7 linked regions of the Cricetulus griseus genome follow. The protein of the gene in region 1 interacts with the protein of each later gene in a pairwise test. Links are inferred from orthologs where the notes say so. Each region holds a gene or a part of one and is shown in the gene's direction. Other genes may lie near its edges. The genes, in order: Grn, Smad9, nuclear fragile X mental retardation-interacting protein 2, Fam131c, Dlk1, Otx1 and CUNH22orf39.

What was found.
Region 2: the proteins of Grn (region 1) and Smad9 interact in binary tests that used the Homo sapiens proteins (3 or more experiments, as listed by UniProt). The link is inferred for Cricetulus griseus from reciprocal best matches to the Homo sapiens genes GRN and SMAD9.
Region 3: the proteins of Grn (region 1) and nuclear fragile X mental retardation-interacting protein 2 interact in binary tests that used the Homo sapiens proteins (3 or more experiments, as listed by UniProt). The link is inferred for Cricetulus griseus from reciprocal best matches to the Homo sapiens genes GRN and NUFIP2.
Region 4: the proteins of Grn (region 1) and Fam131c interact in binary tests that used the Homo sapiens proteins (3 or more experiments, as listed by UniProt). The link is inferred for Cricetulus griseus from reciprocal best matches to the Homo sapiens genes GRN and FAM131C.
Region 5: the proteins of Grn (region 1) and Dlk1 interact in binary tests that used the Homo sapiens proteins (3 or more experiments, as listed by UniProt). The link is inferred for Cricetulus griseus from reciprocal best matches to the Homo sapiens genes GRN and DLK1.
Region 6: the proteins of Grn (region 1) and Otx1 interact in binary tests that used the Homo sapiens proteins (3 or more experiments, as listed by UniProt). The two-hybrid records come from large-scale screens. The link is inferred for Cricetulus griseus from reciprocal best matches to the Homo sapiens genes GRN and OTX1.
Region 7: the proteins of Grn (region 1) and CUNH22orf39 interact in binary tests that used the Homo sapiens proteins (3 or more experiments, as listed by UniProt). The link is inferred for Cricetulus griseus from reciprocal best matches to the Homo sapiens genes GRN and C22orf39.

The regions. Positions count from the first base shown.
Region 1 is NC_048600.1:115,672,851-115,676,802, reverse strand, and holds the start of Grn (progranulin), read left to right. Parts: upstream 1-1,152; 5' UTR 1,153-1,225; coding exon 1,226-1,257; intron 1,258-3,663; coding exon 3,664-3,808; intron 3,809-3,918; coding exon 3,919-3,952. UniProt on the Homo sapiens protein: Secreted protein that acts as a key regulator of lysosomal function and as a growth factor involved in inflammation, wound healing and cell proliferation. Regulates protein trafficking to lysosomes, and also the activity of lysosomal enzymes.
Region 2 is NW_023276806.1:96,416,875-96,420,919, reverse strand, and holds the start of Smad9 (mothers against decapentaplegic homolog 9), read left to right. Parts: upstream 1-1,245; 5' UTR 1,246-1,441; intron 1,442-4,045. UniProt on the Homo sapiens protein: Transcriptional modulator activated by BMP (bone morphogenetic proteins) type 1 receptor kinase. SMAD9 is a receptor-regulated SMAD (R-SMAD).
Region 3 is NC_048600.1:91,081,813-91,085,898, forward strand, and holds the start of nuclear fragile X mental retardation-interacting protein 2, read left to right. Parts: upstream 1-1,286; 5' UTR 1,287-1,381; coding exon 1,382-1,688; intron 1,689-4,086. UniProt on the Homo sapiens protein: Binds RNA.
Region 4 is NC_048595.1:11,878,629-11,882,128, reverse strand, and holds part of Fam131c (protein FAM131C), read left to right. Parts: intron 1-2,618; coding exon 2,619-2,737; intron 2,738-3,500.
Region 5 is NC_048598.1:185,357,937-185,361,930, reverse strand, and holds the start of Dlk1 (protein delta homolog 1), read left to right. Parts: upstream 1-1,194; coding exon 1,195-1,261; intron 1,262-2,467; coding exon 2,468-2,531; intron 2,532-2,986; coding exon 2,987-3,117; intron 3,118-3,994. UniProt on the Homo sapiens protein: May have a role in neuroendocrine differentiation.
Region 6 is NW_023276807.1:84,695,139-84,699,395, forward strand, and holds the start of Otx1 (homeobox protein OTX1), read left to right. Parts: upstream 1-1,457; coding exon 1,458-1,554; intron 1,555-2,397; coding exon 2,398-2,549; intron 2,550-3,901; coding exon 3,902-4,257. UniProt on the Homo sapiens protein: Probably plays a role in the development of the brain and the sense organs. Can bind to the BCD target sequence (BTS): 5'-TCTAATCCC-3'.
Region 7 is NC_048597.1:70,360,804-70,364,949, reverse strand, and holds the start of CUNH22orf39 (UPF0545 protein C22orf39 homolog), read left to right. Parts: upstream 1-1,346; 5' UTR 1,347-1,430; coding exon 1,431-1,484; intron 1,485-1,576; coding exon 1,577-1,744; intron 1,745-3,628; exon of another isoform or gene 3,629-3,763; intron 3,764-3,809; coding exon of another isoform or gene 3,810-3,914; exon of another isoform or gene 3,915-4,092; intron 4,093-4,146. UniProt on the Homo sapiens protein: Negatively regulates long-term potentiation and modulates adult synaptic plasticity. Stabilizes the interaction of RTN4 isoform A/Nogo-A with its receptors, inhibiting clustering of postsynaptic AMPA receptors at synaptic sites.

The DNA.
Region 1 (3,952 bases):
AGATACTCCACGTTGGCCTCCACTTTCTGGGATTCCTGTAGCTCTAGCCCAAGAAGCCCACCAGGCTCCTCTCTATGCAAGACTCTTACTGTCCTGGATTTATTCGTAGGGCTGTCCCCATTCCCCTGAGTGGCCTACCAGTCAAGCTCTTTGCTCCTCCCAGGGGACCTATCTTCCACACCAACTCTGCCTTTCCTACAAGGCCCAGCCTTGGGCTTTCCTGGGGCCTGTCCTCTTCCTGGCAGGTCTCCAATCAGCCATTTCTGTCTGGCCCAGGCCCTTTGGCACTCAGCAGCCTGGCTTTTGTTTCTGGCTAATCTGTTCTACTGCTAAAAATCTCTATTCATGGACCATGACAATTCCTCGAAGGTAGGGGTAGCTGAAACTAGGAGGCCTCTTGCACCTCCACAGCCACCAGCCTGCTTCACCAGCCCATGCCACATACTTAGCTCATGCCCAATGCCCTTACTTTGAATGTGGCTTTTAACTCTTGCTAGACACTGTACTCCCCATCTGCTTTCCTAACCTCTTCCGGAGTGCCTCTGTCCCGCCTAACCAGCCCCTTAAAATTCCTCTAGATTCAGTTCAGCGTGATACCATCTCCTGGCTAGCTCAAAGTGGATTTACATCTATTCTTCCCCTACCTTCAGCCAATCTCCTGCCTGGTACTCGCCCTTGAACATTTATTAGATTTAGTATCCCACCCAAATCTGGGGACTGTTTATCTTTACCCTCCCAACTATCTTTCAGCTTGTTTGGAGTCCTGGCTGCCTAGCGTGAAAACAGTGAATGTACAAATGTCCCGATCCAGAAGCCGACGCTATGCTGTAAACGACCTTGAACGCGCGCCCCGCAGGCGCCTTCTTAACTGTCGGTGGCCTTAGGTACGCAAGCCCCATCTCTAGAACACCTCGCCAGGCGCCGCCAGGGCCCTGGGGGGTGGGAGGAAAGCAACCGAACAAGCAAGCGAGGCCCTGGGGGAGGCGGGCTATGGTGTCATATGATTGCCTGGTCACATGATTCCTAGACATGGGGTGTGGGGAGAGAGAGGAAAGGGAGGAGGAGTGTGGATTGAGTAGAAAAGAAACACAGCATTCCTGGAGAGTCCCGCCTCTATGTAGACAAGTAGCCAATGGAAGCCCCGGATTCCCGACCCAGGGCTAATGGAAACTGAGGTGGGCGGGCCATCGGGCAGCCAAGCCCTAGTCCGAGAGCTGACAGCCAGATGCCTCCCAGGGAGTGCGGACCCCGAAGCAGGTAGGAGGACCCGCAGCAGACATCTCCCTGGCTGCTGTCCAGAGGCCTGGCCAGGCTTGCTGTGCAACTGAGGCTGCCCCGGAGCCTCAGCTCAGAGACGAGAGAAGTCCTGCCTCTTGAAACTCCCCTCGGGGTTTCAGATGCACTAACGAGGGTTTGTCATTTGGGAGGAGTGGGAACAGTTGCTGTAGACACCCCCAACAAGAGGCTCCCCTGCCCAGCATGTCGGAAAGCTGCAGGGCTTTCTCCAGAGCAGGAAGCGCCCCACTCTTGGGCCAGCTTCATCTCTCTCGGTGCCTCCCACCTCTTGTCTCCAGGTCCCGGCACTTTCTCATTCTGGTGCCGCCAGTAGTCTTCGCGGCGACTTGCAGTGGGTGGGGATCTCCCGCCCTTGGTCCCAGAGCTCAGAGGAGTTGGGAGCAGGAGTTGGGCGTGGTGGCAGAATCCCTGGGTTGTGTCAGCCGTACTTCCTTTATGGGGGGCGAGAGAGCTAACTTCCGCCTCTCCCCGCCACTTTTCCCTGCTCCTCTGCTGGATTGGCTCACCTTTTGGGAAATTCATCTCCCCTTGACACTCCGGAGTCGGGGGTGCCACCTAGTGGAAGATCTCGAAGCTAGGGCCTTGAAAGGCTCCTCCAGTCCTCTCAGGCTATTTCAACAGAGTGGTGTAGAGGTGGCCAGAGGTCACCACTCCCTAACCCTAATGAAAGGGATTAGGTCTCCCCTACCCCATTCTAATCTGGCCAGGAGATGACCTCTGGGATATTCTTTGAGAGGGTGCTTGAAAACCTAGAGAAGGAAGGGGAGGGGGCACAATGAGGGACAGATCCTCTATGTAGCCCAGGCTGACCTCATAGTCACCCTGTAGCCTGGAATTTGTAATCCTCCCACCTTAGCCTCCCAAGTGCAGGGATCAAAAGCATGTTTGTCATGCCTATCGGAAGCTTTGAGGTCTGGATGTTGGGATTTTGCCTTCCATGGCCACCAGTATTCAGAGTTTGAGGCACAGGAAACAATTTCTGAGGCCCTCAGCAATTGATCAGTGGCAGATTTTACACCGTCCCTGTACCCACCCTTTCTTTTGTAGATTTTTTTGTTTTGCTTTTGTTTTTGAGCAGGATCTTTTTGTCCCTGGCTGTCCTGGAACTTGCTATGTAGACCAGACTGGCCTTGAACTCACAGAGATCCACCTGCCTCTGCTTCTGGATGCTAGGATTAAAGGCGTGTGCCACCACCGTCTGGCTGTACCCACCCTATTTCTATCCTGTGTAGGTCACCTGCCTGGGAAATGTTCTGCCCGCTTCCCTCTGCTTGGACCTCTGGCCTCTGGGATTTGGGGTCCATTCCCTGGCAATGTTCAGGGATGTCAGTTGACATAAGAATCCAGGTCCAATATCTGCAGTCTGTTTTCTCTGACTTGATACCTGGGCATGGATTTGAAAAGTGAAAGTAATCTGATCACTGCTTTGCATAGTTGTGCAGAGAAATACAGTAAGGAAGGGCAAAGTGGCTCCCTGGAGGGTCTTTGAATATTGCTGTTTTTGCTGCCCCAGGCAGGGGAGTGTCACTCTGGGTTGCTGGGTAGGCCAGCTGTGCTGGGGAAAGACTTATTAGGGAAGTGAGAGACTCGGTTCCTCCTGCTAAGGCAGAGGGCCAGTGAAGAAGTACACTTAACTTTGCTCTTGCAGCTGAGTTTCGATTTCTGAGTAGGGAGAAACAGGTGGTATGTTTGAGGAGTCCAAAGGAGTCCTGGTGATGCTGAGGAGGGCTGGTTATGAAATTAGCTTCAAGGCTAATCCAGCCACCATGTGCCCTTCCCCTGGGTGGGGAGGGGACAGTTGTGGGCAGGCAGTGGCTGGCCTGTGGGAAAGGCAGCCCAGACTCCCCTGGCCACTGCACTTCCGTTTTCACAACTTTCTCAACCCCTGGTTTCCCATATGATCATGTGATTGACAACTCTGTTTCCCCAAGGCCTTTGAAAAGTACATGTGGGAGTTCAGTGCCAGGCAGCGAGGTGAGGCTGGCTGTCCTCTTGTGGCCGCTGAAGTCTCCTCCCAGTTAGCCCACAGTCCCATAAATCAAAGCCACATGGCTTCCTGACTGTCATAACTCCGCGCCTCTCCAGTCGCCTATAGTGTCAGGTGTTAGGCCAAGTGTGATGACATGATGGACACTTGTGTTCATGCCAGCATTCGTGCTCACCGTGTGTGCAAGCTGGTGCAAGTGTGATGCTTACAGTGTAGGATGCTGACTCAGGCAGCTGCTTGCCTTCCTGCTCACTTGTTGAGAAGTTTCAATAAATCCAAGGCATGTCATGCCTTGGCCAGGGCATGGGGAACTGCATGGACTCAGAATAGAAGGTGGCATAAGCTTAAGATGGCTGCCAAACTTTCCTTGGCATTTGCAGGCAGACCATGTGGACCCTGGTAAGCTGGCTGGCCTTCATGGCAGGCCTGGTGGCTGGAACACAGTGTCCAGATGGTCAGTCGTGCCCTATTGTCTGCTGCCTGGACCCCGGAGGAGCCAGCTACAGCTGCTGCAACCCTATTCTGGTGAGTGTCTCACGCCCCAGCTGGCATCCTGGCCTTTTGAAGGGTTACCTTGGATTGGCCAGAAGAGGTCTGGCACAGATCCTCTGGTATATGTCATTGCTTCTTTCCAGGACACATTGCCTATGGTAATGAGCGATCGTCTAA
Region 2 (4,045 bases), on another chromosome or scaffold:
CCCACCAGGTTTTACTGTTTTATCTCCCTAACCTTTTTGGGAGTAACGTCCAGAAAAGGCAGAGTACACACACTTAGAGGCCTGCCCCACACCTACCCTCCAGAGAATTCTGTGGATTCACAGCCTCCGTGGCAGAAGCATGAACCAGCCTATCAAAGGTTTCTCACGGCTTTGTGCTCCCAGAGAAGGAGGAAACTGATTGGATCAGTTCTTTAATATCATTTCTGGGGAAGGGGTGGGTGGGTGTTGAGGCACAAGTTATCAATTCAGAGAACCTAATTAGTTTACTTGCCTCTAGGTGCACATGAAATTCTCTCATCCAGTCCATGACTTTCAGTGGTCCCCACACTGGACAGTATTTTTTCTGGGGTGTTTTTCTCTCCCAGGGCAATCTCACACCCAACACCTGGCCTGCAGCAGGGTATATGGACCAGCTGTAGAGAGATACTTCCAGTTTGAAGTTCAAGTATCATTTACACTTCTGCAATATATTTTAAGCAAAGCCTTCTTCAGCTACCCTTGGATGATGATGCAAAAGTGACATGTTCCAGAAAGTGGTGGTTTTAGGGTTAGGGGAAGAAGTCCAACCTAAGGGCTTTTGTTTACATTTCCAAGGTGCTTTGGCCTCTTGGGGGATGCTTACAGTGTGGAACTAACTGAGATGGCCAATGCCATTTTGAAAACCTCTGTCTTTTTGAAAACCTATAAGGTTTGGTGGGGGAATCAAAGGCTTTCAACACACAGGTGCCACTTCCCAAGTGACATTTTAAAGGCAGGCGACCTAGGGGGCAGCCAGGCAGCTGGGCAGGAAGGTTCTTTGTGCCCATGATGTATATCTTGAGTATTAGACAGTATGTATTATACACTGCGTAAGAAATCACAGTCCACAACATTACAGCACTAGTTTGAAACTCCACTGCCACTCAGCCAGATTTTCTTGGGCTGGTGCCAGGCAAGTTATGCCTCGGATACAGAGATAAGGAACAGCTAAGCTAGCCAGTAAGTGTGGCCTCAAGGGACCAGGACTGGAGCCACATATGGTTGGTGGTCCTGTCTGCCTCTGGGTGGGTGGGTGGGGGGGACTGGCCCCCTCTCTCCACTGCCTGAGGTCCAGGTGGGGAGGACACCTCGGGGGATGACCTGGAGATCCCGCTGGCCCTGAAAGCCATTTGCAGAGGCCATGCGCAGGACGAGCGGGTGCGCAGCTCTGCGGGCGGGGAGCGCGGCTCGGCCAGAGCGCACGGCCCCTCCTGGCTGGGGCTGCGCGCACGGCAGCCTGGCGCCCTTCCAGTGCGGCGCACTCACGCGGGCGGCCGAGGAGGAGGCTCCAGCCTGACTGACGCCTCTGGAGCCGCTGTCTCGGTCCCGCCGCCGCCCGCCCGGGCCCTGCAGCTACCGCGCAGCCCGAGAGCGCGGGGCACGCGTGGCACCACACGGACAGGTAAGCGCTGCCACGCCGCGAGCGTGGGCACCTGGGAGGCCTCTGAGGTTCTCTGGCATGGGGCTTGGCTCTCCCTGGAGCCTGGGTGGCGAGTGTAATGTGCGAGGTCTCCGCGGCAGCCTGGCACCTGGGACCCATCCCGGGGACGCGTGACCCGGGGTGTGGGCAAGGATGCAGGATGCGCGTGGACCAAGTGCAGAGGGATGCACACTGTCCTGCACCCAGGAGCAGGCGCTCTGAAACCCTGATTGGGGCAGTAGCCCTTTGCTGGGGAGTTGGGGACAGCAGAGGGGCGAGTGTGAGTGTGTGTAAGGTAGTCTGGGGGGAGATTTTAAAACTCCAGGGCGCCTTTGGCCATGAAGCTTTATTTCATACTCCTGTAATTTTTTCCTCTCTGCTTACCTTTGAGGCACACACAGTGAGAGAGGAAAAAAAAAAGTTAGGAATGTTAAGTGTCTGTAGCTAGCGCTTGGGTTGTGTTTGTCTTCTCCTGGGCCTACCATTGGGTGCCAGCTCTGCGCAGACGGGAGGGGGCGAGGTGGGGACAGATGCAGGCGACTGACTGACGCCGGCCTTGTGATGGGGAGGAGGAGCGTGGGGAGCCTTCTTATGGGTGGTTAATCGCCACACTCTTCTTACTCCTTCTCCTCCCTCTCTCTCTCGGCCGTGGCAATTGAAAATGATAGTTTTGAGGTCCTCCGCTGGGATATTTCTTGGCTAAAACTGGTAATTTTGAGAAATAACCTACAAATGATGTGGATCTCGTTTTGGAAGCAAATTGTATGTAATTCGGTTGAATGCATGCCATGGAACACTAGGAATTACTTTTAGTGGATCCAGTTCACAGTGACCGTGCGGCGGCTTGCTAGGTTCCTGTAAAAATTTAGCTATCAGGGAGAGCAGAGAATAACGGTAAGGTCGTTGGCCCTTTAAGGATGGCGCTTCCTAGGCAGTTCCTCAGGAATATTTGTGGTTGTGAAATGTGCTAGCCTGCCTGTCAATGCCCTCGGATGTTTACATGTAGAAACTATTCATTTATATTTAAAAGGCAAGTGAAAATACAGCTCAAGCACACTCTACAGCAAATGACCAGCATTCATAGCTCTGCTCCTAGGAAGGCGGGAACTCGATTTTGGATCACTTTCAAGTCTATGATTGGTAATCCAAGGACATCACAGATAAGAAACCGGTGTGGTGGTTTATAAACAAGGAACATTTAAAATGTGATAAGATGACCAATATTTCTGAAAATAGCTTCTAGTGGTAAGGCTTCTTGATGGCAAGTCAGCTTCCTGAAAGCTGGCCTTTGCTGGATCTGTCCTGATACTGCCAGCCCCCACTTTTATGCTTGAGCGGATGGCTTTGTCAGGGGTTCCCTCCCCGCCCTCCCCCCAGCCCCTCCAGTTTGGAACTCTGCTTAGGAGAATGCTGGCATAGTCTGGATGCAGCCAGCTCACTTACTAGTAGTATTTTCTAAAAAGCAAAGACAAATTAAGGTCTTAAGCAAATTAAGCACCTTAAACATGAGGCAGTTGGTGTTTTCTTTATCAAATATTTTCCTCTTATTTTACATATTCCATAGTTAATGAGAAAATTAGAAGATATTCACCAGTATCAGCTACTGCGTCTCTGATAACCTAAGATATAGGAAGAAAATGCTAAGCAATACAGGAGACTGCTGTATTGCTTAGCATTCCCACCCCGTTTTATAAGAAACTTCACCACAGACATAGAAGCACTGAATGGATGGTAAATTTGTGTATTCTTTCTGATCATGTGGTCAAATTGGAGGAGAAAAAAAACAAGAAATTGTTCTTTCACACAAATAAAACAATTTGAGATCAGTTTTACAAATAATTGAATGCTGATGAATGAGAGTGCAATGTTTGCTGCCAAGTTGAAGAGAGATGGTTACTGCATCATTAAGGCAGCCAATGATATCTGACCTTCCCTCTCCACTACAAGAAAACAATTTCATCATAGTCTGCTTTAATATCCAGGAGATGCTCCAGTGGTGGGAAGGTCAGGGTTCTGATCAATGAATGTTCTTGGTTTTTATTTTTTTGTAACATCTGACATTAAATCCTAACATCTGAACAAAACTTGGGGGAGACTCCTGTTTATTTTTGTGAGCACTTAGGAATTCAGAAATCGGGGTGTATGCAGAATATCCAGTAAATTGGGTGTATATTGAAAATACAAATCTCAAATTGTTATAATCCTTGACTTTGGGTTTTTATTCCCTTTATTACTGTTGCTAGTGAATTGGCAAGCTGTCCTAAATCAAGGGAGGCAGATGCTTACATCCTAATTTTGATGGTGTGAGTAGGCAGTGGTGTGCTATGTTAACTTGATGAATGTTTGTGTAGGAATAGGAACATAGCAAAAATAAACAAACATCCCCTGGCAATTAACTAGGCCTTAAAAGCAAACATTCCTGAAAATTATGTCTGTGCCAACTAAAACCATTTAAAGATAATGGCCAGCATTAGATGTCACCAGGGCTGTGAAAACTGTGTGCTCATCTTCATGCACACCGGTGCATGTTGAACCCCAGGTACCCTTGTCTGCACACTCAGGTGTCCTCTGCCAGGCTTATTTTCT
Region 3 (4,086 bases), about 25 Mb from region 1:
TAAAACAAAACAAAACAAAAACAAAAAAACATGTTAGGATGATAAATTGCACATTTAAAATTTCCTTTATACTACATAGAGAAATATATATCTCATTTGAGCAAGTGTACTTGTAATGTAGTTTTAAGAAATAGCATATTGGCTTGGTGTGGTGGTGTAGGACTTTAATCCCAACACTCAGAAGGCAGAGGCAGGGGGATCTCTTAGTTGGAGTTCCAAGTCAATCTGGGTTACACAGACTGTTTCAAAAACAAACCAATCCAAAACAAGCAAACAACCCCTCCTGCCAAGACCCACAAAAATATATTTTGAGGATATTCTGTGTCTGTCATCACAACCCTCTTCCTACTATGAGTTGAATTAACTGCATAGAATGCAAATACATCTTTAAATTGCAATGTTTTCTGTAAATGCAAAACAAAAAGATGTAAAAATTAAAATCGTAAGAACTTTTAAAGGTGTACTTTCTCCCTTCCTTCACTCTTAAAATTCTTAATCTAAAACCTATTTTGGTTTCATAGTTGACCTTACCTGTAGTGTTTAATTAAAACAATACAAAACAAAAAAACCCTTCAGTATATATTTTTCATCCATCCCTCTTTCTTGCCTTCAACTACAAAGAAACAATGATTTAAGCCCTTTGTGCCCTTTTAGAAAATTACACAGATACCCCATTGTGGAACCCTATAATCCCTCCGTGGAAAGGAAGAGATTAGCATATGAATACAAAGCAAAATGAATCCAGAATACAAAAACGATCTATCGAGTTGTGAAGGTTTTGTATTCTTAAAATTGAATTTATTTCCTCTTTTGTATTGCCCCTTTCGTGGCCTAAGGGTTAAGGAAATTGAGCTTCCCCCTCTGCTCTGGTTACCCGGAAAAGGATTTAAAAAAAAAGAATCCAAAACCACACACACACACACACACCCCAACAGATTCTAGGAGGTGCAAAACCAACAGATGGCTCCTAGCGCCAGTAATCGTCCGTGGAATCTGCTACACTCGAAATCAGCTTGCTTGCCTGTGAGGAGTGTAGAAAGTGCTGTTCGCTAACTGCGTGGTGAAGGAGAGAAAGCGATAGAAGAGAGAGCCATAATGCTGACGTTGAAGGCCCGGCCCTGTGAGGTTGCATAGGGTAAGTGGCGTTGGCCAGGCGGCGGCGGCGAAGGGGAAGGGAAGAGGATTTGGGCTAGGGGCGGGGCTTGACGCGCAGCGTGGCTCCTGATTGCTGGAGGGCTGCTGCCAATCTTCCAGATCCGCTCGCTTAACCAGTGCGCTGGCGAGACGCGCTCAGATATACTGAGCGAGCGCTGAGAAGCAGTCTCAGATCCTGACGGTGCAGCAGCCTGCAGCCTCAGCCAGGGAGTCCCAGCCGCTTTCAATGGAGGAGAAGCCCGGCCAGCCACAGCCTCAGCACCATCACAGCCACCACCATCCGCACCATCACCCCCAGCAGCAGCAGCAGCAGCAACAGCAGCAGCAGCAGCAGCAGCAGTCGTCGCATCACCATCACCATTATTATTTCTACAACCACAGCCACAACCACCACCACCACCACCATCACCAGCAGCCTCACCAGTACCTGCAGCATGGAGCCGAGGGCAGCCCCAAGGCCCAGCCCAAGCCGCTGAAACATGAGCAGAAACACACCCTTCAGCAGCACCAGGAAACGCCGAAGAAGAAAACAGGTCTGGGAGGGAGGGCGGTGGGGGAAGGGGGGCTGGGGCTGGGGGGCCGACGAGGGGATGGGGGTGGGGCTAGATGTGAAAAGCGCGGACCCGGCCGGGGTGTGCGTCCCGCGGGGCCTGGGATGCCCCCTTTCATTCTTCCCGGGCGCGGGCCGCGAGGTGGGGATTGCAGCGCCCTCTCCTTCCCTTCAGCATGGGAGAGGCCCAAGCAGGCCAGCGTGACCTTCCCCGGCCCCCGCCCCGGCTGGAGGCAGACCTCTCTCTACGGTCGGCTTTGGAAGTCCACAACCTTATTTTTTTTCCCCCCTCCTCTTCTACGGCCCCGGAGTTGCCGGAATGTGGGGGGCCCTAAGAAGGGATCAAACTCGGCCGCCCGCAAAAAAAAAAAAAAAAATTCCCTCGAGGTGTATGTAATTCCGGCGGGCCTAGTGAATCCCGGCTCGGGTGGTGTCGCGAGACCCTCTTGCAGGCAGCGAGGAGCCGGGCTGAGGGCTGAGTTGAGGAAGCGTCCTCCCTCACCCGCCACCCAAGCCCACCTGTGGCCCTGGGGTTTGCTGTCTGGGGGGGGCGGCTGGGACCCCTTCTCCCCTCGAGTCATTTCACCCCTAAACGCCCCTTCCGGGCGCCGGACCCTGCTGTCTCTCCTCGAGGCTTCTCCGGAGGCCGGCGCCCCTGGCCCGCTCTCAGAGCCGGCGAGGCTGGAATGTTCTCTCCTCCTCGCGGGGCCGCTTCCTGTCCGCCATGTTGGAAGCCGATTCCTGTCACCGACTCGGGCCGGCTGAGGAGCGGAGGGGGGAAGGGTGCCCAAGGCCACACTGCACTCTGGGACCGAAGGCCCGGGACCCTCGGCGGCCATCGCCGGGTCCCCCGCACTGCGGGCGGCCGGCGCCCGCCGCCCCTCCCCCGCCTCGGTTTGGTGGCGGTTGGGTGGGGGAGGGAAGCGGCCACGAGGGGAGCGGCCTGCACCGTGGACCCGCGCGCCGACGGCCGCGTTTCCCGCTCCCGGGTGCGGCGGGAGGCGCGGGCGGCCCGGCCGGGCGGGGAGCCGGCCTAGAAGAGGAGCTTGAGGGGGAAGGAGGCCCGGGCGGCGGCCACGGCGTTCCGCTGGCCTTGGAGGGGCGAGGTGGGGGACTCATTTTCGGTAGAGGCGGTGCCTGAGGCCGGGTGGGGTACCCAGCGGGAACCAAGCTCCCGGGTCACGAGTTTCTCTGCCACAGGAATCTCATCTCCTGCCAGGTTCGCTCACGACTCCGCCTCAGCGGCTTTCACTTAGGCCTTTTTTCTTTCTAGCAGCGCCTTTCCTACCAAAAGAAGGGAAAACAACCTCTTAAACCTTGTTCCATCTGATTTCCACACAGCACCTAAACTTCTGGGCATGGGTAGTGGCTGCAGGGATTAGTCAAATACTTGATTTGGATGGACAACAGAGACAGTTTGGGTCCCCTATTATCTGGAAATGGCTTGTCCGTGAGGTTGGGTCAATACCATCTTACCTTGGACAATACTTTATGGTGATATTAAAGTGAAAGACATTTGCTGCATTTTAAAACCGATGTCGTTACCCAAACTGAATTTTATTTAACATGTTAAACGTAAAAGTCTTGAGGAAATACTTAAGAAATAAATGTCAAAATTTATATATTCGCAGATTAAAAGTTTATAAACTGAAGAGTAGTGAAGGGAATACTTGGAAGAAAAAATGTTAAACTCAGCATGTCATTTAAGCATTCAAGCAGTCACTGGTGAAAAACTTACTGTAGACAATGTAACTTTGAAGACAGATGCCGGATATCAGATTTTTTTTGTAAGGTGCAGTAGAAGTTAAGTGCTTAATTGTAAGGATCTAGAGCAGCCTAGAAAACTTAGGAATTATGTAACACTGCATTTTGGTTTTCAGAAAGTGGGGAAGTATTAAGGTTGTCAAATAATGGTACTTTTTAGATTTTAAATTTGTTTTATGAGGTTTATGTATTCCCCACAGGACTCATCATTTACAGTGATGCAGACCCTGAACCGTTGGAAGTGACACCCCTCAAAATATGTCTTAAGTTGGGATGAAGAATAAGGAGGGAAACTGTTGAGGGTTTGGGGGTGATCTGTCTTTCATGTATGTTTTGGTCACACAGTACTGTTGCTTCAATGGCTTTTTATGACCCATTACTCCCAAATCTTTGAGAAACTAGTTTTTTGAATCCAGAAGAGGGCACAAGAGAAGACAAAATGTGTTGAGTGGGTTGCAGTGGCAAATCCAAAGCTAGATTTGTCAGGACTCAAGTTTTGACTGAGTCCATTTGAAGTTGAGTTTGCATGGCAGCCCTAAATAAATGCTACAGATTTTTAATTTTTCAGGAATAACTACAGTCTTGACATTTTTCTTAAATGTTTAAGCTTTTAAAAA
Region 4 (3,500 bases), on another chromosome or scaffold:
CAGCTTTCAAACTTAAAAAAAATTAAATTAATTTGAAAAAAATTATTTTATATGAGTTTTGCCTTCATGTATGTGTGTGCATCATGTCTGTCTCTAGTGCCCATAGAGACCTGGGGAAAGACATTAGAGCCACTGGAACTGGAGCTACAGGTGGTTGTGGGCTGCCATGTAGGTGCTGGGAATCGAACCCAGGTCTTTTGGGAGAGTAGCCAGTGCTCTTAAACACTAGACCGTCTCTCCAGCCCCTAATTTTTATTACCTGTTTGCTATGTGTTTGTATGTGGGTGTGCACATGTGACCTTACATGTGTGATGGTCATAGACCAACTGGGAGTCAGTTCTCTCCTGTCACCTATGACTCTCAGAGATGGAACTCAGATCATCGGGCTTTGCATCAGGCACCTTTAACCCACTGAGGCATCTTGCTGGTTGAGCTTTCAAACTGTAATTTTTAGACCTGGAGGCGAGTGAGAATGGCCCCCACAGGCTCATATATTTGAATGCTTGGTCCCCAGTTAGTGGAACTGTATGGGATGGATCGAGAGGTTTGGCCTTGCAGGAGGAGGCCTGTTATGGGGACAGGCTTTGAAGTTTTAAAAGTCCATGCTATTCCCAGTTAGCTCTCTCTCTGCTTTGTGCTTGTGGATCAGGTTGTGAGCTCTCAGCCGTGTTTACAGCGTCATACCTGCCTGCTGCCACGATCTGCTCCATGATGGTCATGAACCTCTGAAACCTTAATCCCCAGTCAACTGTTTCTTCTATAAGTTGCCTTAGTCATGGTATCTTAGCACCACAATGGAAAAGTAACTAAGGCAGACCTGTAGGAACAAATATATTTTGCATTTTGATCCAGTATACACATCTAGAAAATTCTCACCTGTGCAAATTCGCGCACGCGCGCGCACACACACACACACACACACACACACACACCTATGTGCCTGTGACACATAGGAGCTCCACAACACAAGACTGAATGATCTGAGGCTGCCTCCAGCTCTGATGATATCCACTCTATTCTACTCAATATTTATCTTATTATTTTTTAAACAGACCTGGTGAAAAGAGGGCTGAGGGTGTAGTTCAGTGGTAAGAGCACTTCTCAGCATGTATAAGGCGTCAGTTCTGGTCTCTGGCTGGAGACCATTCAAATAAATGGCCAAGTAAGTAAGCAGCAAATAAGTGAAAAACAAGCCTGATGAATGGACAAGCCACTGAAGGACGCGGCCCCTGCCCTGCCATTGAGTCCTCCTTTGTAAAGATGGGAGGTCCTGGAGCCCCGAGAAGAGCAACATTAACTCGGGTCACGCGGCCAGGACTGGCACACAGCAGGCTGTGCTGGGGACTGCCTGCTGTGTGCACATGGTCCAGCCCTCATTCTCAGAACCCATGTGGTCCTCCATGCCCTGCCCTCCTTATGTCTGGGTCACTTTGGGGCAAGAGAGACACTGACCATCACCTTGCCTTCCTCTCCTATGGTGTCCCAGACAGCCTGGCTCCAGCCTCCCTGCCTTGGCCCATGCATTCCAGCCTTGGGGCAGGTCCCAGATCCTTTGGCCTCTTTCAGGATGCGATTTGGCTGAAAAGTCTCCTTGAATGCAGGTCCATACTTGCTTTACTCCCTCCAGCTGGGCTGGATGTGCCTGCCGTGTGAGCCCTGGGCCCTTCCTCTGTCGGGACCCCTTTCTTCCCTGACCCGTTGGCGTCTAGAGTGGAGTATGCCTGGAGACAGAGCCCAGCTGCTTTTGTTTGCCTGCAACAAAGTCTGGCTTTGCTGTGCTGCTGTGTGAAGCCCTTTGTGAAGCCCCTATGAGATCCTGCTGTGTGCTGGGCCCTGTGGCAGGTGCAGGGGCTGCTGTGGCCAATAAAATAGGTGAAGTTCGGACTGGGGAGATGTTCAGTTGGCAGCTTACCTACATTCTGTTCCCCCAACCCACTTTAGGAGGCCAGGCAAGATAGCCTGCACTTGCAGTGCCAGTGCTAGGGCCAGAGGGAGGTAGAGGGTCACTGGCCAGGTGTCCTAACCTATGTGGCAAGTTCCTGTCTGGTAAGAGCCCTTGCCTCATAAATAAATAAATAAATAAATAAATAAATAAATAAATAAATAAAGACAGTGCCTGGAGAACAACACCCAAGGTTGTCTTCTAGCTTACACACACACACTTTCCCTCTCCCTTTCCCTCTCTCTCTCTCTCTCTCTCTCTCTCTCTCTCTCTCTCTCTCACTCACACAAACACCTAGTCTCAAAGTAAAAAGGAAATATCTCTGTATAGTTGTAGAATGTGTTTGTATATTAATCTGTTACTGCAGAAGGGTAAAAAACATTAAAAAAAATTTTTTATGGCCAAGCAGGGTTTCTCTATGTAACTGCCCTGGCTGTCCTGGAAGTCACTCTGTAAACCAAGCTGGCCTCAAACTCACAGAGATCCTCCTGCCTCTGCCTCCCGAGAGATGGGACTAAAGGTGTGCACCACCACCACCCGGCTGTCTTTAGTTTTTCTGTAGGTAAAACATATTCCCTCCTTTTCAGTTCAGATGTGCCTATGTCTTCCCCTGCCTAATTACTATGGCTAAGTCAGAGGGTTTTTTTTTAACTTCTCCTGTCATCTTTATTTCCAGATCTGTTCATCAGTGCCCACAAAGACTGCCCCAGGTCACAGGGCACAGCCCTCCTGAATCGGGATCTGCCCTCCAGCCCTCATCCACCTGTCATGGCTCCAGACCGTGTTGCTGGCAAGGTAACCGGCCACTCATCACCCTCCTCCTGCCTGCCCTGGTTCCAGCTGCTCTTTTATCTCTCTAGGGCAAGCAGAGGCCATTCTTGGCTCCCTTCTTCCTTGCCAACCCCAGTTTCTTCCTGGGTAATAGGGGACCCAAGGGCTTGGCATTCAGCTGGATGGGTGCCAGACTTATTTAGAAAACACAATACCATCCCAGAGGTCTTCCTGCCCAAATTAACTCAGCCTTGCAGACAGTAGGTTCCACTGCCAGCCCAGTTCTGCTTAGTAACTAACAACAGCTTCTCAAGAGTAAAATCAGGGCTGGGCGGTGGTGACTCACGCCTTTAATCCCAGCACTTGGAAGGCAGAAGCAGGTGGATCTCTATGAGTTCGAGACCAGCCTGGTCTACAAGAGCTAGTTCCAGGACAGACTCCAAAGCTTCAGAGAAACCCTGTCTCAAAAAACAAACAAAAAAGATTTCTTTATTTTTAATTTATGTGTATGAGTTTTTGCCTTCATGTGTCTATGGTCACAGCTTGTATGCAGTACCTGTGGAGGCCAGAAAAGGGCATTGGATCCCCTGAGACTAGAGATGATTGTGAGCTACCTTGTGGGTGCTGGGAAACTGAACCCAGGTCCTCTGGGAAAACAACAAATGCTCTCAACTACTGAGCCATCTCTCTAGCCTCAAGATGCTATTTTCTATTTTTTGTTTCATCATTATTATTTGATTTTTTTTTTTTTTGAGACAGGGTTTCACTATGTTGTGCTGCCTGGCCT
Region 5 (3,994 bases), on another chromosome or scaffold:
TGGTTGATTGCATTTGGAACACATTGGTGAGACCAGAGTCTCTGTGAACCAAGATGGATTCGATTGTGTGTGCTTTGGTGGTGGGGGGGGGGTTGTGTGTTGGGTGACCCCACGAATCTGAGACAGTTTGGGGGACTGGGCACAGGTGTTCCTATCAGGTGTGTAGCCTTAAATGTTGGAAAGAGGCAGCGGATTTTATGTTTCAGCACGCTAAGGCCCAGGCAGGGGCTGCAGTACCTGAATGAGGGGAGGGGGAGAGGGTGACGCACGATGTCGTCGGTGTTCACCAGTGGTCTCCTGTGTTTACAGGCGGGCTGCGTGCAGGGGCAGCACAGGCAGCCTTTCATAGCTGGCGCTTCCCCTGCTTGGAGCCAACGGACAGTTCCTGCTGCCCACCGCTCAGCGACCTGTGCCCCAGGGAGGGGTATTAAGGCGTGCTTGTGTCAAAGGTGTGTTTGGGTTGGGGCTCCGTGGGGCGAGTGCACCTGCACCTTCCCCAAACTCCACAATGGCAAGGCTCGTCGGGGGGTTTCGGCTTTTCGTGGTGGTTTTCGTGTGTGCATCTCTGATCATGTGCATTTTCCACATCTTTGTGGTGTGCGTTTGGGTCCTTCTGGGCTTTTGACCCGCGCGCCATGTGGGCGCGGGACCAAAGCCCTAAGGGTCTTACTATGTCTGTGAGCGTTTTGTATTCTGAGAGCATGCTAGGGCTTTCGCCCGCCCGCCCGGCTTGGTTCCTGAGACTCGCGCTAAGCCGGCCTGTGCGAGCGCCGCCACCGCCTCCACCGCGTGCTGTCCTGTGTGAGGACCGCGTGCCCATCGTGCGCAGGTACCCGTCTAGCCAAGAGTGAGCCCGCGTGCGCAAGCCGCTTCCGGGCGCCCGGCTCTCGGGGGGGCGGCCCCGCCAGGGGGTGGGTCACCGGGACTGGCCGGCGCCTGCCCCGTGCGCGCGAGGCGTGGGCGTGGGCGGGGGCCGCGGGGGGGGACCGACAGTACGAAAAGGCGGCGCGCGGGCCGCTGCCGCAGCTCCTCGGCGCCCCGCACCTGGTAGCGTGCGCCCCAGAGCAACCCTGGCTTTCCCTCCGCGGGACATCGGTGCCCCCTTCATCGTCCGCAACCAGAAGCCCAGTGCAGCCCCCGGAGCCCCCTCTGCACCGCCGCCGCTCCCCGGACCACGACCCAGGCCACCCCGAGATGACCGCGACCGGAGCCCTCCTGCGCGTCCTCTTGCTCCTGCTGGCTTTCGGCCCCAGCACCTATGGTGAGCTCCCCTGGCGGCTTGGCTCGCGCCCCCTCTGGGGAAGCCTGCGATGCCCCGCCGACCACCCCATGCTCCCTGTCCCGTGCGCCCTAAGTCCCGCCCGTCCCGCCTAACCCTAAGCCCCCCACCCTCCCTGCGCCACTCTTGCGTGCCGAGCCCAGTCCTGGGGTCCCGGGGTTTGCGGGAGGTGGAGGACCCCAGCCCCTTCTTGCCCGGCAGAAGTGGCGTTCGGAGGGGTGTCGTTGCGTGGATTGAGGAGGTATGGAAAAGGGGGGGTGCTCTAGGAGGTATTTTATTTAAGAAAAAGAAAAAATAGGCTCTGGGTGCAACTTTGGGGGTGTCTGTCCTGCTTATGTGCTTAGGAACAGGTCTTGGGGGCTTTGGGGGGATGACTTTGCAGTTGTAGCCCCCAATTCCCAACAGGAGCAAAGCAGGAGCCCCTCCTGCGTGGCGCGTTTTCTCTAGGTGAGGGGCTGCGACACTTCTGTCTGCAGCGGCCATCTGTCACTGGCAGCGAGAGAGTTGCCCCCCTTCCCGCAGCGACCCCAGCCTCCACTGCACCAATGGTTGTGTGTGAGGGGCGGGGGTGCTGTCTGGAAAGCCCAAGAGTGGTTGAGTAGTTGCATACAGTAGGTGTCTATTAGGGTTGGAGGCCCTGCAGAGCTGTTGCGCAGTTCTTTTAATGTGACTAGCGAGGGGCGGGGGAGGCAGGAGAGACAGGAATTGGCTGTCTGATGTAACTGGGGTTAATCTTGGGGGGGAAATCTAGTCACTACCTGTGAGCCAGGCAGGTGGACTTGTCTGAGCTATTCCAGAGACCTCAAAATCTCCCCCTTTAGCTCACTTGGCAAAAGCGAGGGCTTGCCCTAATGCCTGAGGGTCAAGTGCTGACTCTTCATTGCCCCCTATTCCTACTTTTAATGGTCTGGGGGTTCCTATTTTATTTGGAGAGAAAGGTGTCTGTTTTGCACTTGGAGAATCACGAGTATGCTGTGCTTATCCCATGGCTAGAAACACACAGGATTGTTTTTCTGGGTAGGTCAGGCCACATCCAAGAAGTGCCTACTGTGTGCCAGGCTGGAAGGATCCAGGAGAGGGTCTTTGGATCCCCCCTGCTGAGGAGCAGTGGGCCACGTGAGAGGAAATGGTCTCTGCAGGTCCTGCAGGCCTTGTGAGGTGATTGCGTACTTTTTTTTCCTTCCTCAGGGGCTGAATGCGACCCAGCCTGCGACCCCAAAAATGGATTCTGCGAGGATGGCAATGTTTGCAGGTAATGGAGTAAGCTGTTTGGGGACCATGGTGGGGTCCTGTGGGGTCTTGGAGCCAGGCTAAACAGAGGGGGGTGCTTTTTTATAAAACTGCGTCACAGCTTTCTTGCTCCTGCAGATAACTGGTGGGGGGGGTGAGAGGAGGCAGGAGAAGGGGGGCCAGGAGAAGCGGGGGCAGGAGAAGGGGGGCATGAGGATTGTCTCACAGGATGAGACCATTGGGGGTCACTGCACCAAATGTGGTTCGTGTGGGGGTCTGGAAGACCCTTGTGTTCCTGCCCTAGAGGATTTTTCTGAGCTTTTCATTCAGGTGACTGCTGTTTGCTCCAGAGACCCACTGGCCTGGCACTGTACAAAGACCACCAAGGGTTCTCCGTTCAGAAGAAAAACAGCCTGAGCCCTCTTTGGACCCCTGCTCCCCTCATGTGCCCCTCTCTCTCTCCTTTTGTTCACACAGGTGCCAGCCCGGCTGGGAGGGCCCCCAGTGTGACCAGTGCATAACCTCCCCTGGCTGCGTCAATGGAGTCTGTGAGGAGCCATGGCAGTGTATCTGCAAGAATGGCTGGGACGGGGACCTCTGCGACATAGGTGGGTACCCTCACCCCTTTTCCCTACCCACTCCCCCTCCCCTCCTGGAGCTACAGCCCTGAACCCCTAAGGCTCTCTGTTTGTAGTATGTGATCTACAGTGCCTATACGTTCCCTGCTGGGCCTCAAGTGCCTATAGTTTGGTCACCTCAGCTCTGTGGGTTCCTAGACTTGGGGAGGGGGTGCTGGAAAACTGCCTGTTGAATAAAGAGTCACAAAATAAAACACAGCATGCCCAGGGTGGCTGGACCAAGGACTGGAGCTACCTGTGCACAGGTTGGTGAGGCTGGAAGATTGGGGTCTTCTGTGTATGCTATGGGAGGGGTGATTCTTGGGGCTCAAACATCAAGAAAGGGAAGGCAACAAACAAATTGGGGAGGGGAGGGGTGACTGATACTGAGTCGTGATGGCGGGTGGGGGGGTGGTGGCTGAGGATGAATCACCAGGAAGGACAAGGGTGGGGGGGGCAGTCAAGTGTTGCAGGAGGCTGGTGGCGGTGGCATAAGGGTTAAAGTGCAGACTGACGTTATCTGCTGATTTCATTAATTTATATAATCCTTGAAAACTGACAGCTGCATTGTTGTAGGACCATTCTCACTTGCCAACCCTGTCCCCAAAGACCAGGCAAACTGAAGGAATAAAGGGTGTGTGCCCACCCCTCCTACCCCAGAGATGATATCCCAGCAGGAAGGCAGACAGCTAGGTGACCCAGGACCTGTCTCCTCAACATTACCAGTGACAAATAGGGAAACCAAGGATCAGAGAAGCAAAGGGGCCTCTGTACCCCGAATTGCCTATGGTCTCCCTCTCCTGAGTGGTAGTGTGGTGGGTGGGGGAAGGTTTTTGCTGCAGCTGACTCACACTGGCCACAACAGCTC
Region 6 (4,257 bases), on another chromosome or scaffold:
TAAGTTAGATCTAAGTATTCGAAAACTCACGCAGCACCTTCGCAGAACCGCGGCGGCTGGTGGCCTGTGGTTCTCCGGCCCAAGTGCGCTGTTTCCCTTGTGGTTCCGTCCGCCTTCCGCGCCTGCTGGTCTCCCTTAGTCCAGGCCGCGGGACCCCAAGGACCGAAGCAGGGGTTGGAGTTGGGATGGGAAAGCTACTTAAGTCCTGCCTCCTTTTTCCCTGAGTTCCCACCCTGGGCTCCCTGTAAAGCCGGGTGTAGCTAGAAGCCCCCCTCTCGGGTCCCAGCCCTACCCCCCCAGAACCCCTTCTTCCGCTGGAGAAGAGCGCCAGGGGCTCGCAGTGTCTTCGGCCGAGCCTAGCGCTCCCAGCTTGGGTGTGCGGGAGCTTTCCGACTTGAGGCCTAGTTCTCTGCTCTCCACCGAGTTCAGGAGAGGACGGCGAGGAGCCCACGCGATCCAGGGTGCTCTGGCTTCTGAACTCCCCAGCATGCTTTGAGCCGCTGGGCTGGTCATCCTTTATCAGACCCTGGTGGGACTCGGTGTGCTCTCTCGGACTTGGTAGAAAGAAGGTCGGGCCTGCGTGGGCTTAGGAGGACGGGTGACCGTCTTTGAGGCACCCCTGACCTTGGGCGGCTTCTTGAAACTGCCACTTCTACTGTGGCGCCTTTGGCATCTTCTCGCCGCCTCACCCGGGCCTGGGCCACATCTACCCTAGAAGTGCGTTGAAATTCCGGTTCACCCATCTCCTAGCGTCAGGGGCCCAGAGAGGTCAGATAGAATGGTGATTGGGACTCTGGGGGAGGGGGCTGCTCTGGAGATCTCTGAAGGAATGATGTGACCAAAATGGGCAGTTGCCTGGGCGATCCAAGGGGTACTAACCTTGGACCTCTGTAGTGCCAGCGGTTTTGTCCCTCTTTCAAAAACATTTGAAACTTAAACAAAATAACCCGGTACGTACGCTCTGTACGGCCTGCCATCCCGGCGCCAAGTGAACATTTGCTTGAGCAAATTGCTTCCGCAGCACTAAAAAAAAAAGACTACACTTGGGATTTTGCACCCTCCCCGGTCCCGGCTCTCACCTCCTCGGCCTGATCGCGCTTTTAAGTTTTCTTTCCTGTTGACACTCAAGGAGTGTCTTTGGCCCTTGTCAAGCCCTAAAAGAGGAAGGAACGATGTGGGGAAAGTTTACTTTTCTAAGAAGCCGGCTTGCTGAGCTTGGAGGAGAAATTTCTTGGGTTGCCTGCCCTGTTAAGTTCCTAGCCTGCCCCCCTCCCCATTCTAGGATTATAGGAACTGAAAGCCAAAGTGACTGCGGGTGACGGTTTCCATGTGTCTCCTGTCTCCTTAGGCCAGGCCCCCAGAAGCAACAGCTTGAAGGACTTCGAAGTGGGAGCCCTGAACTGCTCCTGGCCCCAGGCCCCCTGGATCCGTCGGGGCGCCTCCACCCGGCAGTTAGCATGATGTCTTACCTCAAACAACCCCCATACGGCATGAACGGGCTGGGCCTAGCTGGCCCTGCCATGGACCTCCTACACCCCTCTGTGGGCTATCCTGGTGAGCGGTGGCCCTATGTCCCTACCCCCAAGCCTGTGCAAATATTGGGGGATTCCAGCTTTTAACGTTTGAGCCCACACAGTCCCCAAACAGGCCCAGGGATATGATTATCTCTGTGTCTGTTGCCCAGATCTGCTACAGGCTCTCCGGTTTGAGTTTAGAAACTGTGACCTACAACTTTTGAGCTTGTGGTGCCTGCTCCTGTTGTGGTCTCACATGCTAGAGAAAGCATGTTTGTCCACCGACGTATTTCCCACCGGTTGCTTTTTTAAAAAAATAAAATCTTGCCCGCCCAAACATTTCACGAGGAATCTGGACTCGATAGGCCCTAATGTAAACAGCCAAACTTCCCTTATGTCTAGCTGCCTTGAGAAGCAGAGCTCTTTCTCCCTAGTCAGAGTGCCCTAGAGACCAGGGACCTGACCCAGCTCTTCCGTGGTGGCAGACGACTCCAACTGAACCCCGAATTTATTTTCTGGATCCTACTTCTTTGCTTGAATTTATTCACTTGGAAAGCTTTCCCAGGTCCTGTTTCTACCTACCTCTGTTCTACTTCCTACCTTTCAGCCAGAAGTGGGCTTAGGGAGATGAGGAGGGGATGGCTTTGTTTTTTATCTGAGAGACAAGGAGGGCTGAGGCCCTGATGTTTCTTTCAGACAGGAGCCTCTAGCCCAATTTATACACTTTGCCCCACCTGTGGGCAGGGAAGTTTGCTTTTGCGCGGAGGTCGGCCTTTCCTTTCCATGGCAGGGTTCTGGACCTACCAGAAGACCTGCGTGTGGCCTCTAGCTCCAGTCCTCGAGGTCCACTGCTGACTCCAGGTGCCCTTGTATGTCCCCACAGCCACCCCGCGGAAGCAGCGACGGGAACGCACCACCTTCACGCGTTCACAGCTGGACGTGTTGGAGGCCCTTTTCGCAAAGACTCGCTACCCGGACATCTTCATGCGAGAGGAGGTGGCGCTCAAGATCAACCTGCCAGAGTCCAGAGTCCAGGTGCGTGGTCTTTGGGACTCTAGGATTAGGGTAGGGGCGCTAGGAGCGGTCGGGGAAGATCCGACCTGGGCCATCTGGTGTTGGGGCCCATTCACTGACTGGACAGCCCCTCTCTAACTCCCCCTAGTGCTGGGCTTCAGTCAGCTAAAGGGGGGTAACATTTTAAAAAGTAATGGCTTAGAGCCCAACATCTCTCTAGCCCTTGTCCCCAGGGCGCTTTCATTGTTGAAAGTCGGTTTTTGGATTTTGGAAAGGCCAGCCGTGTCCCCCGGGTGTAACTTTCCCAGAAGGTTAGATAATGGCCCCTGCTTCCTGGCTACAACAGAATTTGGCGTTTTCCTACTGAGCCTTAGCTCTCCTTCCGCTCTTGTCTTTCTTACCCTTCCCTTGAGTCCTGGGGATTCTAAAAGTGCAAGATGGAACTTGGTCACAGCCTAGCGCAATCTGCCTTGGAGTGTGCTCTGAGGGTGGAGTCGGTATGGTTTGGAGTTTTCTCCAGCCGAGTGGAGGCCGAGTGCAAAATCCAGATGCTGGGTTTACTGTTTCTAAAATGAAACAGTTCAGAAAATAGGAGTTCTGAGTTAGTCTAAAACTCTTCCTCGAGAGTCTTTTGTCTCAACTTCTTTCCCTGAAGGCTCGAGAAGGGACTGGGAATGCAATGCCCCGTGTCCGGGCCCCTCCAAAAGGAGTGCGAATTTATGACTTATCGTTCCATTTGGTACCCCACCTGGAGCCAAAAGGCCCAAGGAAACCTCACCCAGGCTTCCTTCACGAGAATCCCAGTACTGGAGTACTGCTTCCGTTCAGTTCAGCCTCCAGCCTTGCTTCTGTTCCCACCCAAATATTTGCCCTGCCCAACTCCAGTCTCCAGGAGCCGACTCGGTGAAACCCCTCGGGCCCCAGACTTGGTGACTGCCCTACTCTCCGATGTTCTGTACTCTCCGCTGTTTCCTGAGCTCTGTTCTTGGAAAACAGGGCCTCCAAACTAAAACGGGGCTGCGGGGAAGCAGCCAACTGCAACAGCTTAGAGATGGCTGAACTTCTGGCTGGACAGACGCAAACGTTCCGCCCTTGGGCAGAGTTGCGCTGGGCTTGGGGAGGTGCGCATCCCTCCTGCGGTGGAGGCTGACTGGGGGCTTTGCGCAGAAGGATGGGGGAGGGAGCCAGAGCTGGGGACCTAGCACGTGCGGGGGAGGGGACAGGGTCTGGCAGGGCCAGAGACTGGGAGGGGTAGAGGCTGGGATTGAGAGGTCCCTGAGATCCTGGGCGGGGTGTGAGTCCGAGGGGCGGAGGAGCTGTGAGCTCCACTAGCCAGCCCCCTGATCCCTTCTCCTTCACCCTGCTCACTGCAGGTTTGGTTCAAGAACCGCCGTGCCAAGTGCCGCCAGCAGCAGCAGAGCGGGAACGGAACGAAAAGCCGGCCGGTCAAGAAGAAGTCGTCTCCAGTGCGCGAGAGCTCGGGCTCGGAGAGTAGCGGCCAGTTCACGCCGCCTGCCGTGTCTAGCTCGGCCTCTTCGTCTAGCTCAGCGTCCAGTGCCTCCGCCAATCCCGCGGCTGCTGCGGCCGCGGGCCTGGGTGGGAACCCGGTGGCAGCCGCGTCCTCTCTGAGTACGCCTACTGCTTCGTCCATCTGGAGCCCGGCCTCCATCTCGCCAGGCTCAGCACCGCCATCCGTGTCCGTGCCAGAGCCACTGGGCGCACCGAGCAA
Region 7 (4,146 bases), on another chromosome or scaffold:
CTTTCCCGATGGCTCTAGTGTGTCCATTTGCTCTTAGTGAGAAATATCCACAAACAACATGATAATTGGCTTCTGTCTCTTGGCACATACATCATCACTGGCCAAATATGGCTCTGGAAGGTATAAATGCTGTGGTACCTGCCTGACCTGTCATTGATGTTCCACTAGCAGCAAGGCAGCCTTCATTTGTGGAGTTCTGTTGACTACTATAAGTTTTGTTCAGCTGGGAAGATGACTCAGTAAACACTTGTTCTTGCAGAGGATCCAGGTTTGGTTCCCAGCACCACATGGTGGATCACAGCCCTCTGTAATTCCAGTTCCAGAGATCTGTGTACACATGGTGCACATACATATTTATTACACATAAAGTGAATGCATCTCATATGTGACTGCATGTGCAGGTGTGTGCATGTGGAGATCAGAGGACAGTTCTCAGGAATTCCTTCTGCCACCTTGAGGCATACAGGGATCAAACTCAGGTCCTTGGTTCTGTTCACAAGTGCTTCTTAAGAGATGAGCCTGGGCTGGAGAGATGGCTCAGCGGTTAAGAACACTGACTGTGGGCTGGAGAGATGGCTCAGAGGTTAAGAGCGACGACTGCTCTTCCAGAGATCCTGAGTTCAATTCCCAGCACAACCACCTTGAATGAGATCAGGTTCCCTCTGCTGGCATGCAGACAGAAGACTGTAATAAATAAATAAATAAATAAATAAATAAATAAATAAATAAATAAATAAAATCTTTAACAAAAGAGAGAGAGAGAGATATGAACCGCACGCCTTTAATCCCAGCACTCGGGAGGCAGGTGGATCTCTGTGAATTTGAGGCCAGCCTGGTCTCCAGAGCGAGTGCCAGGATAGGCTCCAAAGCTGCCTCTCCTCTCTCTTGGGAGTGTGCTGCCACGTGGGTGCTGGAAATCAAGGTCAGTCAGTGCTAACTGAGCAATCAATCTCAAGTCCCGTAAATTGACTTTTTTTTTGAGACGGAGTCTCATGGTATATCCCTGGCTGGCCTTGAACCCCTGCTTTTGCCTCACTCCCAAATGCTTTGATTAAAAGTGTGCACCGCAGAGCCCGGCCGCCTCTAGAATTCCTTTCACTTTTAGCCACCCCGCACCTGCCCCCTCCTTTCCACACACCAAATAAAGCTCATCTACACCTTAGTGTATGCTCAGACCAGATCCCTTTAGTCTCAGACTGCCAGGTGGGTTATTCGGAGTTCAGAGTCTTCACTTGGAAAGCTGAGGCACACCGAGATTTGAAAAATAAAAACCGGGAGAGCTGGCCGAAACTGCCGGGTTTCAGGCTGTCAATTACAAGGCTTTGAAGACAAGTCACCCGCCAGACATCAGTTGGTGAGGCCTCTAACAATCCGCCCACTCAGTGAAGACGTCCTGTTTAGCTGTGAATTTACTTGGAGCTCATTGGTTCATGTCTCTGTCAGTCACACGGGGCCTGGACATGGCGGTCGCCGGCAGCTGGCAGGTGAGTGTGCTGGGCTGCGGGGCTGCGGGGCTGCGGGGCTGGGTGGGGTTAGGTTCCGGGTCTGCCCGCGCTCAAGCTGTCTCTGCCCGCAGCCTCCCCGGCCCTGCGAGGTCTACCGCTCTGAGTGGGAGCTCTGCCGCAGCGCCAGGCACATCCTACACCACTACTACGTCCACGGCGAGCGGCCGGACTGCAGGCAGTGGCTGCGCGACCTGGCCAGCTGCCGCGAATGGGAGGAGAGCCGCAGCCCCGAGGCCCAGGTGCGAGCAGGGTGTGGGTGGGTGTGTGCACAGATCCCTCGGGGACATCCCCCTCGAGCTTCCCTCCCGAGAAGTACCCCCAAACGACGTCGAGTACAAGGAGGGAGGCAGAAAGAAAGGAGGCATAGAGAGGCTTGGGGAGGAGGACAACCGTCCAGCCTTAGGGTCATCAGCCCGCCCTTGGGGACAGGATGCAGGAAGAAAAGAGCCAAGGTGCCTGGAACATGCGGATGAGCTGTTCAGGGCATACGAATGAACCTGAGAGTACCTAAAAATGTTCAGGCACGTATGATTGCAGTTACCTTTGGAAGGCCAGCCCAGCTCTGAGAGCATGGAGATTACTGTAGAGGACAGTGACCAGTACTGAGGCTGGACCTTCTCTAGGAGGTGTGAAGAAACCTCTCCTTAACTCTGAATAGTATGTGGAATGACGAACCAAAGAAAGACTTCCACTTAAACTAGCTTGGTGAACCAATGACTTTGTTGGGTCACTAATTGGAGCATGGTGACTCAAAAGGCAGCAGCATTCCCTTAAGGCCCAGCACAGTGATCCTTGGAGCTTCTCCCCACCCCACCCCCCTCTGCCACGCCTTCCGAGCAGCTCTGGAGTCTTCACTCCCAGTCGTTGTTACTGCTTTTATAGTTTTGGGTAGGAGGCTGGTGAATTTTTAACTCTCTGAACTTCTTGCTCCTAAATTTTATGTATTTCCTATGCCAGTGAGCGTGCCTCCTAGCTTCAGACGACTATTTGTAGCCATTCATTAAACAAATAGTCGTCTCTAGTCATCTCTTTGGGCGATCTCTGATAAAGGTGATAAAGGAGCCCTGCCTTCCTGGGTTGCACTCCAGTCTGGAGAATGAATGGTATTGCTTTCATGGGCAGTGTGATGGGGAAAAGGGGAGCAAAAACTCCAGGACACAGCCAGCGTAGGGAGATCAAGGAAGAAGAGGCTAGGTGTTGAAAACATTCGTAAACATTCTGAAACAGACAAATGAACCGATGTGGAAAACAAGCTGCCGAAACTCTTTTGTAAAATGCAGAAAACAGGGGTTGGAGAGATGGCTCAGTGGTTAAGAGCACTAACTTTTTCCAGAGGACCAGGATTCAATTCCTAGCACCCACACGGCAGCTCACAACTGTCTATAATTTCAGTTCCAGGGAACCCAACAACCATAACAAAATACCAATGCACATAAAATAAAAATAAATAAAAATTTTGAAAAATGTGGAAAACAGAAGCATGGCAACCCCTAATAAGTGAAAGTAAAAAACATGGCAGAAAGCTTGTTCATATGGCAAGAAACTTACTGTCTGTCACTATATATGAGCTATAACTATATACATGACATATATATATATATATATATATATATATATATATCATAATGAGGGCGACCTTTTACACACACCCTGTGCAGAATCCAACAGTAACTTTTTTTTTTTTTTCTTCGAGACAGGGTTTCTCTGTGGCTTTGGAGGCTGTCCTGGAACTAGCTCTTGTAGACCAGGCTGGTCTTGAACTCGCAGAGATCCGCTTGCCTCTGCCTCCCGAGTGTTGGGACTAAAGGCGTGCGCCACCACCGCCCGGCGAGTCCAACAGTAAATTAACTTCACACTCTCTTCCTCACTCCATGTCCCCACTCTCAGGCTTGCTCCACACTCTCCAGGTCAGCTGTAGCTGAAGCCTAGGAGATGTTTTCAAATGGCTGAAGTCAGAGAATGGACATGGTTGTGCCCTCAGGAGGCAGAGGCAGAGGCAGCAATATCAGAAACTGAAGGTCATATATCGTGATCATGAGGCCAGTCAGCCTGGGCTACTTGAGATCCTGTCTAAAAAAAAAACAAAGAACACAATAAAATTGCTGTTTAAGATGATGAATTATTTGCAGCTAATTAAGCCGATCAGGTCCCTTTCCCCATGGGAGCCTGGTGTGCAATGGTTGCAAACAGCAGCCTCCTTGGTAGCGTATGCAGCCTATCGCCTATATGGGCTGCCCTAAGGGACCTTGGAGACAATTTTCTCAGTTTCTCAAGTTTCTGATCTCAATGATATCCCCAATCTAGGCTCTAGATGGGTATGCGTGGTGCCTTTGGGAAGCCCCAGGGCACAGTGGCCAGGGTTCACATTGGCCAGGTCATCATGTCCATCCACACCAAGCTGCAGAATAAGGAACATGTGATTGAGGCTCTTCGTAGAGCAAAGTTCAAGTTCCTGGCCGCCAGAAGATCCACATCTCAAAGAAATGGGGCTTCACCAAGTTTAATGCAGATGAATTTGAAGACATGGTTGCTGAGAAACGGCTCATTCCTGATGGCTGTGGGGTCAAATATATCCCTAATCGTGGTCCCCTGGACAAGTGGCGAGCCCTGCACTCCTGAGAGCTTCCACAGTGTTCTCCTG